2 linked regions of the Daphnia pulex genome follow. The protein of the gene in region 1 purifies or fractionates together with the protein of each later gene. This does not show direct contact. Links are inferred from orthologs where the notes say so. Each region holds a gene or a part of one and is shown on either strand. Other genes may lie near its edges.

The links.
Region 2: the proteins of histone deacetylase 1-like (region 1) and chromobox protein homolog 8-like purify together in Drosophila melanogaster (affinity purification with western blotting; 3 studies listed by BioGRID, with this or other methods). This does not show direct contact. The link is inferred for Daphnia pulex from reciprocal best matches to the Drosophila melanogaster genes HDAC1 and Pc.

Annotation. Positions count from the first base shown.
Region 1 is NC_060024.1:1,147,725-1,155,665, reverse strand, and holds histone deacetylase 1-like, read right to left. Parts: upstream 4,659-7,941; 5' UTR 4,519-4,658; coding exon 4,467-4,518; intron 3,974-4,466; coding exon 3,945-3,973; intron 3,880-3,944; coding exon 3,796-3,879; intron 3,735-3,795; coding exon 3,617-3,734; intron 3,553-3,616; coding exon 3,377-3,552; intron 3,305-3,376; coding exon 3,125-3,304; intron 3,067-3,124; coding exon 2,865-3,066; intron 2,809-2,864; coding exon 2,559-2,808; intron 2,502-2,558; coding exon 2,443-2,501; intron 2,361-2,442; coding exon 2,207-2,360; intron 2,143-2,206; coding exon 1,916-2,142; intron 1,857-1,915; coding exon 1,771-1,856; 3' UTR 1,589-1,770; downstream 1-1,588. UniProt on the Drosophila melanogaster protein: Catalyzes the deacetylation of lysine residues on the N-terminal part of the core histones (H2A, H2B, H3 and H4).
Region 2 is NC_060023.1:9,224,091-9,232,249, forward strand, and holds chromobox protein homolog 8-like, read right to left. Parts: upstream 4,772-8,159; 5' UTR 4,429-4,771; coding exon 4,360-4,428; intron 4,233-4,359; coding exon 4,189-4,232; intron 4,123-4,188; coding exon 4,060-4,122; intron 3,812-4,059; coding exon 2,389-3,811; 3' UTR 1,629-2,388; downstream 1-1,628.

The DNA.
Region 1 (7,941 bases):
TGGATAGGTGTGCACTTCCAAGTTTCAACGACGCAATCTACTAGCTGCAAGGGGGCAAGCTTAACAACGCGGTCTGGAGAATTGTGTAGTCATAGTTTTAGGTATTAGTTTTACCAGCAGAATTCGTATTCTCAGAGTCATGAGTCGTATGTTCGAGATTTCCAGCAAAAGGTATCAGCTAACCAAGTATTTTATCGATGAGTTCAACAGGAGCTTAAAAGCGGGAACATGGTGTTCAAGCTGACAAGTATCCAAGTATAGGGAGTAAGGGTGACGGAAGAAATAAAAAAGAAATGAACGAGTAAGACACATCCAGCTGCATGAATTCCACGAGTTTCACAATATTCCAACTGAAAATCAGGATTTAGATACGCTTCAAGGTAATAATGATTGTCATGTTAAGTATTGCCGTTTATTTTACCAATCATCGTGTTCAGATACAAATTGGAATGCCTTATTTAGTGCAGTTCCGTTGAGACCAGCACTCGCCGATTGCAAAATTGCCGAACAAATGCCAAATTATATTCTGATATAACTAAAACAGAAGTAAATCTGAAATTCAACTTCGGATTTCTTTCTCCCGTTTCACCGAGAAGATCCAAAAACACTTGGGGATGCTCGATGCGCTGGAAACCTATACCACAGCTACGAACTAAATAGTGTCCGGAATTACCGGAAGAGAGACTGCTGGATTGTGTGCGGCAGTTCAAGGAGCAACGGTCAGAGGCTAACCCTCTTTATGCCGCTGATTGGAAATCTTTTTGGAAAAGACATTGATCTCAAGGTACTCAATCGAAAGAATCTTTGTAAAATGACTTCATGCCAGATTGGATTAAGTACTGGAGAAATCGGATGAACGAACTTGACCTAGAAGAGGAAATCAAAACTCAGGAAACCACGCGGTTTAAACGCAACAAACACGAAAGCAATTCATATAACACGTTCACATACATTACTTTCCGTTCAGTTGGACTTTTAATCACCACTTTAAAAACCACTTTTTACGAAACCGACGAACTTAAAAATTATCACAATATAATTTGCAAATTAATAACTGGGAGCCGTGACTGAAACAATAACGAAGCACTAGAGGTACCACCAGTTGCCTTAACTTATCGGTTATCCATATCGATGAAACCTTTAGAATTATTTTTTTATATTATTGAGGCCTATAAAAACATAATGATTTAAGAAATAAGATAACTAGATAACAATACTAGTGACTAGTACTGTAACCTAACATATGTAATCTAACCTATGTAACCTAACACCAGAATAGTAAAATTTATCATAGTTTTGAAATTAAAATATGCACTATCCCAATTCAAGTATTTAATATTTATTAACTTCAACCTTAATCCTAGTAAAACCTCAAACTTTTCCTACGGTATTCCAACGTTCCACCAACTAGGTTGGGCTTACTGATCGCTGATTCTCCCTACAAAATCATTCTTAAAAATAAACGCTTCTTGCCTATTAAAGCTTCTGTTACGCTACATGTTGTTGAATCAGTATTCCAGTTTTAAAGTATGCACTCAACATAAGTGAAGTGCGTATCTTAGGATGTAGAAAAAAGACCAAACTAAAATGAAAAACTTAGTAAAAATGTATTGAAGACTGAGAACCCGATTGAGGGTATGCAGTTGGTGATAGGAGCCGGAGTTTACATTCTAATTAAGATACACGTAGAAAATTGGATGTGAATGAATCTCGAAGAATCACCATCAGTGTAAAATTAGCGAAAATGAAATAAAACCCTAATTGGTATTTTCAAACTTTTTCTCCTTTACTGCTATCGGCGCAAACCGGAACAGGGGAGCTTAATTCATGCGATGTAGATTTATCTTCTTCGGGTTCTGAAAATACATATAATTGGTAAGAAATCTGAGATAACCACGATTACGTGAACACTAACCTTTTATTTCATTCGCCATGGACAAAGCACTACCTTCACTAGAAGATTCACCACTAGACTTCAGTGTTGTCTCATTTTTCTTGTCCGAATCCTTTACAGTCTCTTTTGAAGTACCTTCCTTATTCTCGCCATTCACTTCTTTGTCCTCCTTTTCTTCCTTTTTGACCTCTGCAGCACCCTCAGCTGTTTCGGTTCTTGGTCTTTTGCGATTTGCTCCTTTAAATGATCTATATAGTAGAGAATAATGATTGAAAAAATGAAAAATTGCACGATTTATTAATGAATTCAGACCTTTGATCTCGGCGGGAATCCCCTTCATCTTCGGAATCACTGTATTCATTGTCTGGTGCAATCCTTTTATCTGATGCTCGTATAGATATACGTTCATCGGGATTAGATTTATCTTCTTCGTCGGAATCTTCGTTAATGGCATCCTCGGGAATTGCTGTCAGAATAATTTTGGATCAGTTAAACGCAATGCAATGAAATAATAAATACAATTGAAGAATTAAATTTAATGCAAGTACCTTGCATTTGGACTCCAGGAGCATGAGGTAACATGCGGAGGTTTTCGAAAAGACGAGTTCTAAGAAAAACATGTCACTCAACATATAATTCTTTGAATAAAACACTAAAAACTTACTTGATTTTATCTAAATATTCCGGAGTATTTTGATTTGCCATGTTAGACGGACTAATGTGCAATTTAAAATCGGGACCAAAATATTCAAAATAATCGTTGTAAGGGAGTTCATTTGCAATGTCATTTCCCAGTGCCACTGCGGTCTCGTAAGTCCAACAACGGGCAACATTTCGAATAGTGTAACCACCACCTCCAAGCAGCAGTAAAGGCAGATTATGTTTCTTAACAAAATCAACACATTTTGCGTGACCTAAAGACAACTTGATAATAACATGTATACTAAAAACAATAGTTCCGAACACATACCTTTCAAAGTAAGATTAAAGCATCCCAAACGATCACCAGACAAACTATCGGCACCGCATTGGAGAACCACTGCACTCGGCTGATAAGTTTCCATCACTTTTGACATGATAGGTACGAAGATTTGCTCATAGCTTTCATCATCTATTCCATCTCTCAGGGGGAAATTTACGGCATAATATTTTCCTTTGCCTGCACCAATGTCCTACAACAAAAGGATAAATAACAGTTTCTTATTCAAAATTTAGTTCAAAACTTCTTACTCTGAGATCTCCAGTTCCAGGAAAATATTCTCCATATTTGTGAAATGAAACAGTCATTACACGATCAGTAGTGTAAAAGGCTTCTTCCACTCCATCACCATGATGAATATCAATGTCAATATACAAAACACGTTGGTGGTATTTCAGAAGCTCTAAAATTGCCAACACTATGTCATTTACCTAAAATATGGAAAGAGATGAACATTAGTTAGTAAGTTATATCCAAAAACTGTTATTAAGTTATTCATTTACATAGCAGAATCCTGATGCCTCAGACTTTTTGGCATGATGTAATCCCCCAGCCCAGTTCACAGCTATCTCAGTTGCTTGCTTGTTGAGCTTCACAGCTCCAGCTACAGAACCTCCAGCAGATAATTGACAAAATTCGTAGAGCCCATCAAAAACAGGACAGTCTTCACCCACATTAACTAAAAAACAAACAAATAAATTAATTCACAATTTCAAATTGATCAAATTGTAAACACATCTTACATCTCTGCATCTGTTTATTGTATTCTGTCATATTGTCAGGTCTGATGCTTCGAAGAAATCGAATGTAATCATCACTGTGGAACTTGGTCATTTCTTCAGCTGTGGCTTTGTGTGGTCGCTAACAAAAAATAAATTCAATTAAACTGTGGCAATTATCATCTAGCTTCTTGAATTTTTACATAGATTTCCATTTTACGGTATAGCCCATAATTCAAGAGCAAGTTGTGGGTCATGCGTATGCGATGAGGTTTCATGGGATGTCCCTTCAATTTCAAAAATTTATTATTAATTACAGTTTCATTAACATAAATGTGTTCAATATTATTACCTGTCCATAATAAAAATTCCCGATGTCACCTAGGTTAATAAAAAAAGGAATTACAAATTTAAGAGTTAAAATGAAAAGTCACCATAAAAATGCCAACCCACCCACCAAGTAGGACGTCAATTATACCCCCGACAACCTCATCGACAAATTTGACATGAAAATCTTAATAAAATTTTGAAGCAATTCAAAAATAAAACCCAATTTAAATGATAATATAGCCACATATCTTTCTTTTTTAATACTATGTGCTCTTCAGTCTTCAAACATCTATAATTCTTTGTGATACTACTGTGCATAAATGACGTCCCACTTGCCAAATATTGTTACTTCCACATAAATTTTGTACATCAAAATGTCACAATAGATAGGTATATAAATTTAGCAAAAATCAAGTATCTTTGGGAATTTATAAAATAAATAGAATATGACCACTGAAATAATTAATTTAAAAAAGGACGCCGGCAGTCAAACACGCGACATGAAACGTTAATTATACATGATACAATTATTTTTCTAACTTACTGTCATAATAGTAGCAAACTCGCTTTCTGCTGTGACTTGGTTGAGTAGTCATTTTCGAAATTGAAAATCACAATTCTTTATTAAAATTATTTTTACTTTTCGACAGTTACACTGAAAAGAAAAGACACCAGCATCAATTGCTTTCGCTGCGTCGAATGCGAATGCTTACATTTACAGTGTTGCCAAATCTACAAACTAACTACGATAGCCCAAAGCCTCAAACGCGAATTTGAGGAAACATATTTGCCAGCTCTCAAAAAATCTCGAATCTCCTTCGATTCGAGTCGAGTCCTTACAAAACTATAAAAATGATGATAATAAGTGGAGGCAGAGTAATGGATAATTATCTGTTGCCCTGGTGGAGGAGTCAAGGTAAAGTATCACGTCAAACTAATTGCAAGAAGCAATTTTTCCATGAATGTTGTTGATAGGATTGAATATGTAATAATCAGTTTTCAGAAGTCGGAACCCTTCTGGGAAACATAATGTTTAATAAATATATTGGAATTTGATTTTTTTGGAAAACCCACACGAAACAAGTGATTTTCAAAATGAAAAAATTACGCAGTTATATTTTTTAAATCTTATATTATCAATTTCCAAATACGAAGGTATTTGAAATAAACATATTCTAGTAAATAATAAATTTAGAAATTAGGGATTAGGTTAGGGACTAAGGAGTATGGAACTAGAAACCAGAGCCATTAAGCTGGAGATCTAACGATCTATCAACTCCGTTAGACGTTTTCAGAGATAAGGAGATGGGCTCGCCGGAAGGAGCAGCGCAGTCGAATTCGTCTTCCGAGAAGGGGCAGGGGGAAAAATGTCGAAATCTTCGTTTTGGTTTCTTTTCTAAATAAGATTTGAAAAAGCCACCAGTCTTAGGTTGCGCCAAGCGGACAAAAAATAAAAATAAAAATTTTTGGCTGATGTAGGCTATTACAGATGTTATTCTTTCCTGGTCGGTCTGAAAAGAGCTGAATCTCTTTCCAGTCATCGATGGACGGGAAGATATAAAAAAATCTAGAAGAAGAAGAGAAAGAGGCAGATGACAGTTTACTTTTAGTCGCTAGAGCCTAGATGCCAGTTTCAACGCGCGCAGTTAAAATTGGTGAAATTCGACCGACCCACCATCTACTGTCGAAAAAGTAATCGAAGCCATCTATTGGCGAAATTGGAACTAATCCTCCCGTATGCCAAAAAACCTGTAGGGGAGACCGGACCCCTCTTGGACAGTCGCGGTTTTTCCCGCATATCTCCCGATCCCCTTAGGCAAAAGAATTTTTTTTTGGCTAAGGTCATTTTTTAGCCTTGCCTCCACCCCCTTGATTTTTTTAAAATGTGTAACTTTAAAATTTAAGAATTTACATTGATTTCCATTTTTCGGTGTTTTTTACCGAGCCGGGGTGAAATTAGACAGGGGCCTGTACCAAGTTAGACGGGGTTCGAAAAGGTGGAAATTAATGTCTTTAAATTATTTTAAAAACCTTGTATGATAGTTCTTCCAATAATAAATAATTTAAAAACATTTGTTTAAAAATTTTTTTACTCAAACAAACTTGGAGCAAGATCAATAATTCGGGCGAAAAATTTTGCAATAATTTATCGTGTTTTTTCTTCCTCCTATAACTCCCGTTCTACTCTCGGGAAATTAATTAAACTACACAGGATCTAGCATCATCACATCTAGAACAATGTGAAATCTAGAATTTTAAAGCAATTTTTACTATATTTTAAGACACTGTCCAACTTGGAACAGTGTCCAACATGGGTCCGGTCTCCCCTACAGAATCCCTACGGGAAATTCGTCTGTTTGGCTGCGTCCTGGTAAGTGTTGTCCCCCTATACCCTAACCACGGGCCTGCTGAGACCAACCACGCACCTACTTCTGTCATGCTTCTGCTCCCCCAAAAAACCCGTCGCCCCAGCATCATACGGGCCTCATGGGACTACGCGTTTCTTTATTTTATTGTTGCATGAAAGACATTTGTATTGATTCAAAGTCAATCCGCTTTTGAATCAATTCCTACATTTCAGCGGTCATTTCAAGTCGTTTCCCCACCCCTTCGAATCCAAAACCGATCCAAGGGGAGGGTTCCCCTCTAGTCTTTGTTCGAAATCCCCTTGCGGTGGTTTTTCTCGACAAGGGGAAACGGATTTTGAAGGGGTCGGTTTGCCAGATGATGCCCAATTATTATGACTTATTTAATTTAAGTTATTGTAGAAAAAGGACAGATATTTGACTTAAGAAAAACAAGAAAATTAAAATCGTATCACTAAGAAGTGTTCTAGTAGAAGTTAACACACGCCCAAACAAAGAAAAAAATCTTTCCGTTACAGCGTAAGATGCAATGCTATCATTAAATTTCCAAAACAAGTTTTTTATATTTTGGAAGTAATCAAGAAAAGATTGTATATTGGCTTAGCTTCAAGAAACCGAGTGAGCTCAACCTTCTTTTTGTTGGAAAATAGAATTCCCCTTGCTATTTTACATTAACCCAGAATAAATATCAGTAGGGTCATCAGGGGTTGTTGCCTTAGTAGAATCAGAGACGTCTAAATATGTTAGATGGATTTCAATCTTGCTGATGATTTGTTTCTTCAGTTTGGTATCTTTTTCGCTTGTCCCTAACCAAATCAATTTAAATTTTGGGTGTAGTGAGCCGACAACTGAAAATTCTCTTGCCTAAGAAAGATGTCAAATCTTTTTTTCAATCTTTCTAACAAGGCATCAACTAATGGGAGTGAAATACTAATAGGGGGATGGCTAGAGTTTTCATCTCGATTCTTGAGATTATTCAAACTATTCCCAATATCTACTATGGAAGGTAGTAGGTTTCCGGAAGTAACATCCTTCTCTCCCTGTAGAATGTCCAATCCAAATGCAATGGGCTGCATCACAGTAACATAATCATTAATGAATAAAGTAATCTGTAGCTGTCAGGCAGGGAACTTTCAAGTAGTCACAACTTTCAAGTCTTTTTTTTTCCATTTTTTGGCAATCTTATTTACGTGGCGAACAGCATCATACCATGCATTCCATCGTGTAGCATTGGGTATTATAAACAATACGCCTAAAGAAAAAATGAGATTCTCACAATTAAAATACAGCCTCGAGTCTCAATAAATCAATGTATTGTTGTACAAATCTATTCAGCCTCCAGTTCACACTCTCTATCATCACCTATATTTTTTGTATACCTAGTTGTGTTCATTTTTGTATACATATAAGCGCATTCAGTTAAGAGCTTGGCCGTATAAATCTCAGAATTGTCATGTGCGTGCCATAGTATTTGAAGCTTACGTTTCAGTATTTTGTATGTTTTTCTTTCTCTCCTTATTCCTTTCTTACATTATGCATCAGCTTTATTTCATTTTTTTTCAACCTGCAGTGCCGCACAGAATATAGAACTGCTGTAGTAGCAGTAGCATAAATGCTAATACATTTTATCACTTCTAGTCAAATCAGCAACTA
Region 2 (8,159 bases), on another chromosome or scaffold:
TTTTTCAGGGTTTATGTGTGTACGTTCTAATCTTGTCGACGACGACGAGACACCGCCTTCCCTTTTTTTTTTATTCTTCTATTATTTAAGGGGATGTGACGTCAGAGCCTAGGCGAGCACACACACAAAAACTGCTTTTCGCTTAAATTATTTCAATCTTGCAAGATCAATGAAACGGAGGGAGCAGATGGCTGGCTGTAACAACGCTTTGAAAGGAGGGGAATGACACACACGGCGAGAAAACAAACGTGAAACAGCCATCTGGTTTTTTGGTTAGATAGATCAGCTATAATTCGGGCAGGGCTAAAATGGCGACACGGTGCCAATATAACAATCAAGAAGAAAACGGTGAAGGGGAAATTTATGTTATATATATATCTGGGAGATGTAGAAGAAGAAGAAAAAAGGGTCGTTCTCTTTGTGTCACTTTTGTGACCCCCATCTTGTGTGTACATGATTATACAGACGAGGAAGAAGAAGGTTACTATAAGAAAAGGATGGTAGCACCCCAGCAGGAACCCCCTCTCTCTCACTGGAAGCTTTTTCTCCCTATTATGCCAACTGCACAGGGGATCTTTGTGTGTTGACTGTGTCTACACACACACACACAAGTCCTACCAATATTCACAGCTGCTGCCGCAAAACATTTTTTTTTTCTTTCTTCCATCTCGGATTTCTGAACTGGGCGCGTGCCCCCGATTCAGCACCTCCCAGATCTTTTCTAAAGACACGAGAAACGGATGTCTGATGGAAAATTCAAATGAGAACAAGATCTCGCCGGAAGTTTTGGGTGTGTGTACTTGTTTGTTAATAATCAAGTAGAAGAATCTAAATTTTTTTTCCTTCTTATTTTATAACTGTAGAGACGCATAAAGATGTGTCCTAGGAATAGGCAAACAAAAGAAGAAGACAGATGGTAAGCTAGGGCTCCTCTTCCCCCCTGGAAAAGAAACTCACCTACATTTTAAACGGCCCTTTTCGAGCCCCCCATCTGACCCCCTCCCTTTCTGGGGCTTCTTATCCATCTCCATTTCCCTGGAAACAAAGGTGGTCGGAATTGACTGGAACATATCTAATAATTAGATCGCCTGACTCTCCGTTTTAATAGGCGTGTTGAAACTGTAACAAGGAAAGAAACAGAAAAAAATTGTAGACTAAAAAAATACAAAATTTATAGAAATATTTGGGTTTTATTAGGGGGTAAAGTTGATTCGATCCGGGTGTAGTTGATTTACGGTCCAATGCGTTTGTCAATCAAATAAAAGTGACAAACCCCGGAGCTGCATCCTAACCTTTCATACCTGCTGCTGTACACGTTTTTCTTTCGATGCTGGAACAAAATATTTTTTGGGGAAAACAAAAATTAAAATGGGGGGTGCTCTTTGACGTTTACAAGTTGATCAAAAAATGTTGTTCCCCCTTATCATATAAACGTAATCATGAGAACATAAAAATAATAAAAAATGCTTCCTTATTTTGTAATAATATTCCTGCCCTTTTTTTATTATTCTTCCAGTGTTTCTTTGCAGACCCAATCACAAGGAATCGTGGTTATTTCACAATAGCCAAGAGATAGACACATACGTAAGAAAATGCTTAAGAGAGCGAAAAAAGACACATTTTGTTTCTGCCTTTGTACAAATTTGACTTTATTCACCCTCCTCGAGAAGAAGAAAAAATATTTCATTGTGAGAAATTTATATAGCTGGGTAAGAGGAGGAAAAAACTAAACATAAGATCCAATTTTTGGTGGAGGGAAAAAGGACAAAAAGTGAGAAAAAAAAATTAATTTAAAATGTAACACAGCCTTCAAACACAAGACACAAAAACGGAGGTGGGAAAGAAAAAACAGCGGGATATTTTAAGGTCAAGCGCACAGGAAAGAAGAACAAAAATCCTCCAGTTGGGATCAATTTCATGAGAGGTTGATACAAAAAGAAAAATATAGACTATATGTATATAAATGTACACATACAAATTTACGCGCTCATATCCAAATCAATGCCCCGATTTTGGCAATTTGTTCGAAAAAAAAAAATTAATTAAAATTTCCTTTTTGTTTGCCTTGTTGTTGGTCAATGCAATTTTACAAAATTAATTTATAAAAAAAATATGGAAAAAATCTACAAGTATACCGGAACAACACGGTTTGCAAAAGAAAATTTGGGTGGGGGGATTCATGATTCAACAGTCATTGTTTGCTTCCTTCATTTTCTTTAGTAACTCAACGGATATTTTCAATAACCATAATTAGGAGAAAAACATACTAAATCGCAAAAGAAAAAAAATTAATTTGTAAATCAATATTGGAATCTCACAATTTTCTTTTCAGTTACGTCGTAACACACAACTCGCGATTCAAAATAAGGAGAGATTGTAAATTTCTTTTTATTTACCGTCAGCCTCTGCAGAGTCGGTGGTGTTGCCATTTTCTGCACTGCTACTGGCAGCGCCGTTTGGCCGATGACGGAAAAACCCCGACACTGTTTTGCATTCACGAATGGTGACGGTCATCATGTTGACCGTGACGTCCGTGATGAAGATCTGGTCGACCAAAGGATTCTTGCGATGCCAATAGTCCAAACTGGGTGTCAGGAGGTGATCGGTCGAAGAAGGAGCTGAAGTCAATTTGCGACCGTTTGGTCCGTGTCCGTTCAGATTGACATTCTCCTGATCCGATAAACTTCCACCCGTGTTGTTCTGTTCAGACCGTTTGGAGGAATTGAGACTTCCACTGCTACTGGGCGGATGTGCAGATTCGCCCGGCAGAGCAGGTGAAAGAACCGGTGCCGGTCTGGTAGGAGAACTGGATCTACTGGCTGGCGAACTGGGCGAATATTTATTAGCGCCACGTTGCAATGACAAGAGAGCTATTTTAGCCGATTGTTCATCTTGCGACAGTGACCGCTGTGGCGTGGGTTGTTGTGGAGATGAGTTGTTGTGTTGTTGTTGATTCGATCTCTCCCGCCAGTCTAATCCTGGGCGAGCCACTGCTTCTCCATTGGGTGACAACGAAATGGACAGTGTGACGTGAGGCTCTTTGGTAATTGCAGTGGGGTTTCCTACGACGGCAGTCAGCGTGGTGGTGGTTGTTGCTGCTGCTGCTGGATCTGTAGGCGGAGATGGACGTGTAGGTGTAGTGGGTGCCAATCGAGGAACTTTGGCTGTAGGAGACAGCGGACTGCTGCCGTTGTGTCCACTGGGGCTTCGCGGACTTCTCGACCGGTCCAGTGACGTGGTGGAGATGGTGACACCGACTCGGCCGTTGTCACTAAGGACCTCAGCTTTTCGCTTAGTGCCAGCAGAGTCCTTCTCTTTATCCTTATCCTTTTCTTTCTCTTTTTCCTTCTCCTTGTCCTTCTTCTTCTCTTTGGCCAAATCAGATTTGTTGTTTTTCGAGTCGTTCGACGAGGTTTGCGACGCACTGATGGACCGGTCAGCTCTGAATGCCGAAGCGATTTTAGGACCAGCAGCTGTGGCTGCCGCTCGACAACTCGGAGGAGATGACAACGGTTTTTCTATCACTTTTTTCTCAGGTTCTTTAGCTGTGATAGGTGGTGGTGGTGGTGGAGCTGCAGCAGGAGGAGCAGTAGTAGTAACGGGTTCCTTTTCAGTTTCTTCGTCGCTACTACTGCTGCTGCTAGAACTGCTGCTCGAGCCGGATTCACCGTCGTCTGAATCGCCTTCTGATGACGACGATGTACTCAGCCTCCTATCACGTGTCGACCTCCCACCACTGCTCGATTGCTGCTGTAGTTGATCAGTCTTTTTCTTTGGCCCTCTTTTGAAGGTGGCAGCTTCTCTTTCCCGTCTTGAAAGATAAAAAAGAAACAAAAAAGTTGAAATGATTGGATTGCTGTTAATGATACATTCACTTTGGGAACCTGTCACTTGCACTTCCTGCTCTCACATGTGACATTTGACAAGGACACAATGCCATTTATGTCAACTCTCTGATGTTGTCGAGCATTTTGAAAACTGGTATGCGCCACAAAGTTGCATAACCAGAGTGACATCACCCAAAATCACATGCAGATACGTTGGAGAATCAAAACATACCTCTCAAAGGCTTCCAGTAGACGCCCATCAAGTATGTTTTCTTCAGGTTCCCATGTGTTGTGTCTGCAAACAATCGTGTGATTAGTATAATGTCAGATTAATCAATCATGTCAAAACTGTAAGACTCACTTATTACTCCAGCCTTTCCACTTTACCAGGTACTCGGGGTGTCCCTATAATCGAAATGAAAGCAAAATAAACAAGCCTGCACACAACTGTGACAGCCATGCCAGAGTGAACCAGCATCGCTGACAGTCTCAACATTTGAAAGGAAAATTATGAGCCAAAAACTAGACTTGCCCTTCGACTTCTTTTTTTAAGAATGCGTTCGGCGGCGAACACCCTGTCTCCAACATTCGACAGCTCCATTTTGGAATCCAGTTTTGAGAAATGTTGTGAGGCGAATGATTGTTACAATAAAATCCGACCACGAATATGACGTCGAAGAAGAGGCGAGGCGAGCAAAATTCCTTATTAACACAAACAGGGGAGGGGTAATGACAGTTGTGTCTTTTTTGTCTCTCTGTCTCTTATCCACGGGTACGTTTTGTCTCTTTTTTTATTTCTTTTTACTTTTTTTTTTCCCGAGACACAGAAAACACTAACGCACAACAAACACACAACAACAGATGCGCGACTTGCGTTACACTCAACTAGCCGGAGAGGGCGCTTGCGTTGGGCTTTTCCCCACCTCCCAACTGAACCCGGAGGCGTACTATCAAAAACTACAACCGAGTCTTCCTAATTTCGTCCTACGTACCAATCGATGCACAACCGACTGGAAAAAATGAAAGACATCAACTTTAATTGATTAATGATTATGTATTTCAATTGGGTTTACATTGGAAATAATTTAACTGTCGATTGTTTATGAAAAGAATGATAATCCTGTAATGATGTCGCGGAAAAGTAGTCTGTTGGTAAAATATCGTCGACGTGAGTGTACTCAACGGGAAACTTCTAGTTGCTTTTAAAGTTGCTTACGTCAAGGACCTTTCGCCCCCTCCTCTCTCTTCTTATAACATCAAACAATTAATTTCGATTGAATGTGGGGTAATTAAGCGACGGATTAAAACTTCAGCCAGCCAGGGTCTTCTGAAATTCGAACGATTTAGAAACTGTCACACACATGATTTTAACAAATGACGATGATAATAATTTCGAAACGATAGTTGGCTAGAATAGTACAAGTTGCCAAGGTTATATTGTTATTTACATCAAATGTCACCGCGTTGTCTAGCTTGAAATCCTCTTTTGATTTTCAAAATGGGATTCTCTCGTCTGGAAACGAAATAAAAATGTTGGAGGTCGCTTCTTCTTCTTCTTCACGACTGAAACGTTTTTAATCTAATAAACAACAAGTCGGACTTTCAAAAAACATAAAAAGAAACATGTGGCAAGTTTGAAAAAAAAATAAAATCTTGTTTCTTTCTCTCTCTCTTCTTGTTACGAGGGCGGGTGCACGTGTCACGACGTGTTTCTCCGCTGTAGGTCAACGGTCTCCGGGACACAGGATATTATTTCCACATACACACAAGAGAACAACTCGAAAACCCTCAAAGCTGATAGTAGTTGATACACACAATACCGCGCCCAGAAAATTCATTGGTACATATAACAGCAGCAGCAAAAGTTCAGTAGACAATCAAGACTATGTTGTTTGATTATCAACACGTTTATACATTTTATTTCTTTCTTTTCTTGTCCAGGTTTTATCAGATAAAAGAAAAACTTGCTGCTCCGGGACTGGTCTCTGAAGGTGTACATACAATTGGCAATCCATCGACCAAAAGGTTTTTTTCTATTGAATTTCGTTTGTTCCAATCTGTCAAAGACGCGTGCAATTTCAATAGAGGTGAAAGGCGACCTCGTTTTATCTGTTCTTTTTTTTTACGATTCACGTAATTGCGTCATAGGTAAAAAAGAACAGCAAGTACCACCTAAGCCTTTGTGTCGACCGAGCCCCGTTGAAAAAATAAAAAACTGTGCTGAATGCCAAATGCTGCTATCCAATATGGCCCACCTTTCTCTCTGTCGGCGCTCACCTGGATTATTCTCTACTTTCCATATATTCAATATAATAAGAACACATGCACGAACCACTCCGCCCGTCCCGTCCCGACTTGATCGATATCAGAAATGTTCCTGCAACAACAAGAGAGAAAACAATTCATATTTTTGTTCGATTTTTGTTTTATTCGTTGGAGGGGGGAAGAAGAAGATCGATAAGATCGTCACGCCGGCTTTCACCTGCGAGACTTTTTTTTAGACAGGTAAATATAATACTGTGGAAGATGAAAAATAACGAGTCATAAGCGGCTTCCCTAAAGGCCGTCTGAGAAGAAAAAGATGAAGGGACTAAAAACGACCAAGAAATCCGTAGATGACGTCAGAGTAACAATGGGACCCAATCACGGGCTCAATTCATCATAAAAAAAAAACATCTCTTATAACAAACCAAAGCGGTCCCGTTCTTTTTCCTTAAATAACCTTTTCCTTGAAAATCTTGTATGTTACAAGCTCTCACGGAAAATAAAAACCTTTCCTGGATATTTTTTTTTCCGAATTCTCCTGGAATTTCTCGCGCCACAAAAAGAGGAGCAGATGATTTCACAAATTTTTTAGTTCCCCCCCTCTTTTACAAAAGATGGTTTGAACAAACGAGTGTGTGGCACGTATATTCTGCTGGCCCTCCATGTCCACACACACAACAGACATTGGGGTGCTGATGATCTGATGATGGGCCGGTGGTTGTCGTCCCTTTACGTCTCTATATATCATCGGAAAACCAGATGGACTCTTGTATGTACACACGGTAGGCCTATGAAGAAAAGGGCAGGTGTGCCAATATCGTAGGGCTGCTGCTGCTGTGTCGATTGTCCTCGGCCAGGGGGATGAAAAAAAGGGAACCGTTGATGTACATATACCCTGGGCCCTTGGTGATATGGTTATAACGGTCGCACGAGCCCCAGTCAACAGCAATCCTCCCCTTACTATACATATTCTATCGCTCCGTTATTATGATTATGATGGGCTAAAGCTCTTTTTTTTCTCCTAGATAATGCTGCGGGCCTTTTAAATGGTGAGCGGCGATTGATACACAGCAGCAGCAGGAAGAGATTTTCGATCTGTTATAAAACACCTCAAGGCTCCAGCCAGCTTCAATTACATTGTAGGTCGAGCAGTTCTACGAATTTAGATATTACCAAGGAAAAATTCGATTTGGTTGAGAATAAAGACAATAGAAGCGGACTGCAACAGAGTACTGCGAGCAATCTACTTTTTTTTTTTTACTATACACGCTGAGTCGACCACCTGGACATGTGGCGGCAGATCAATCAGCAGGTGTTACAACCCTCGTAAATCTATTTCTTTTTTTTTTGGGTTGTTTGTAACCTCGAGCCTAAACAGCCGAGAAAACAAAATGGCTTCAATGTCTAAATACAATAAAAAGGGAAGCTTTAAAAAAGAAAAAAAAAAAGCATTTCCATTTTTGAATTCAATAGATTTAAAGTGCCCGCTCGCGCGTCAAGAGTCAAAACGACTGCTCTCTTTATGGACTAAGACTCTCTCTCTCTCTCTCAGTGTTCTCGACCGGCCATTCAACTAGCCTCAATAGGGCCATACCATCTGCCCTGTTTGACGTCGATCCCGAGTATAGCCCAGTCTATACCTGACTGTGAATAATATAATATAACCCGCGCGCCGCCAGGTAGTGGTAGCATCAAATGTGTATATAACACAGTCGAGGAACATCAAACATCCTAAAAAGAAGAATATGGGAGCACTACTATAAAGCAACCTCAAACAAAAATGGTTCGCTATCATCACGCTGGTTGGGCTGCGCTTATTTGCTTGCCGCCAAGTGAGAGCCGTGAATTATGAACCGACGTGACTTGGTCGTAAAAAAGTTTTTTCTTTCGGGTGTTTGCGTGCAGCTCTATACGAAGTAGTGTGTTATGTAAAGCCCAAAAGGAGAGAAACCTAACCGAGAATCCCGCCTGCATGCGCCTGACTGACCTACTCACTGGGCGATTTTTCGGGGAAAAAGAAGAAGAAGAAAGATGGCAGCCAACGGTGTCAATGGCCCTGATCTCTTA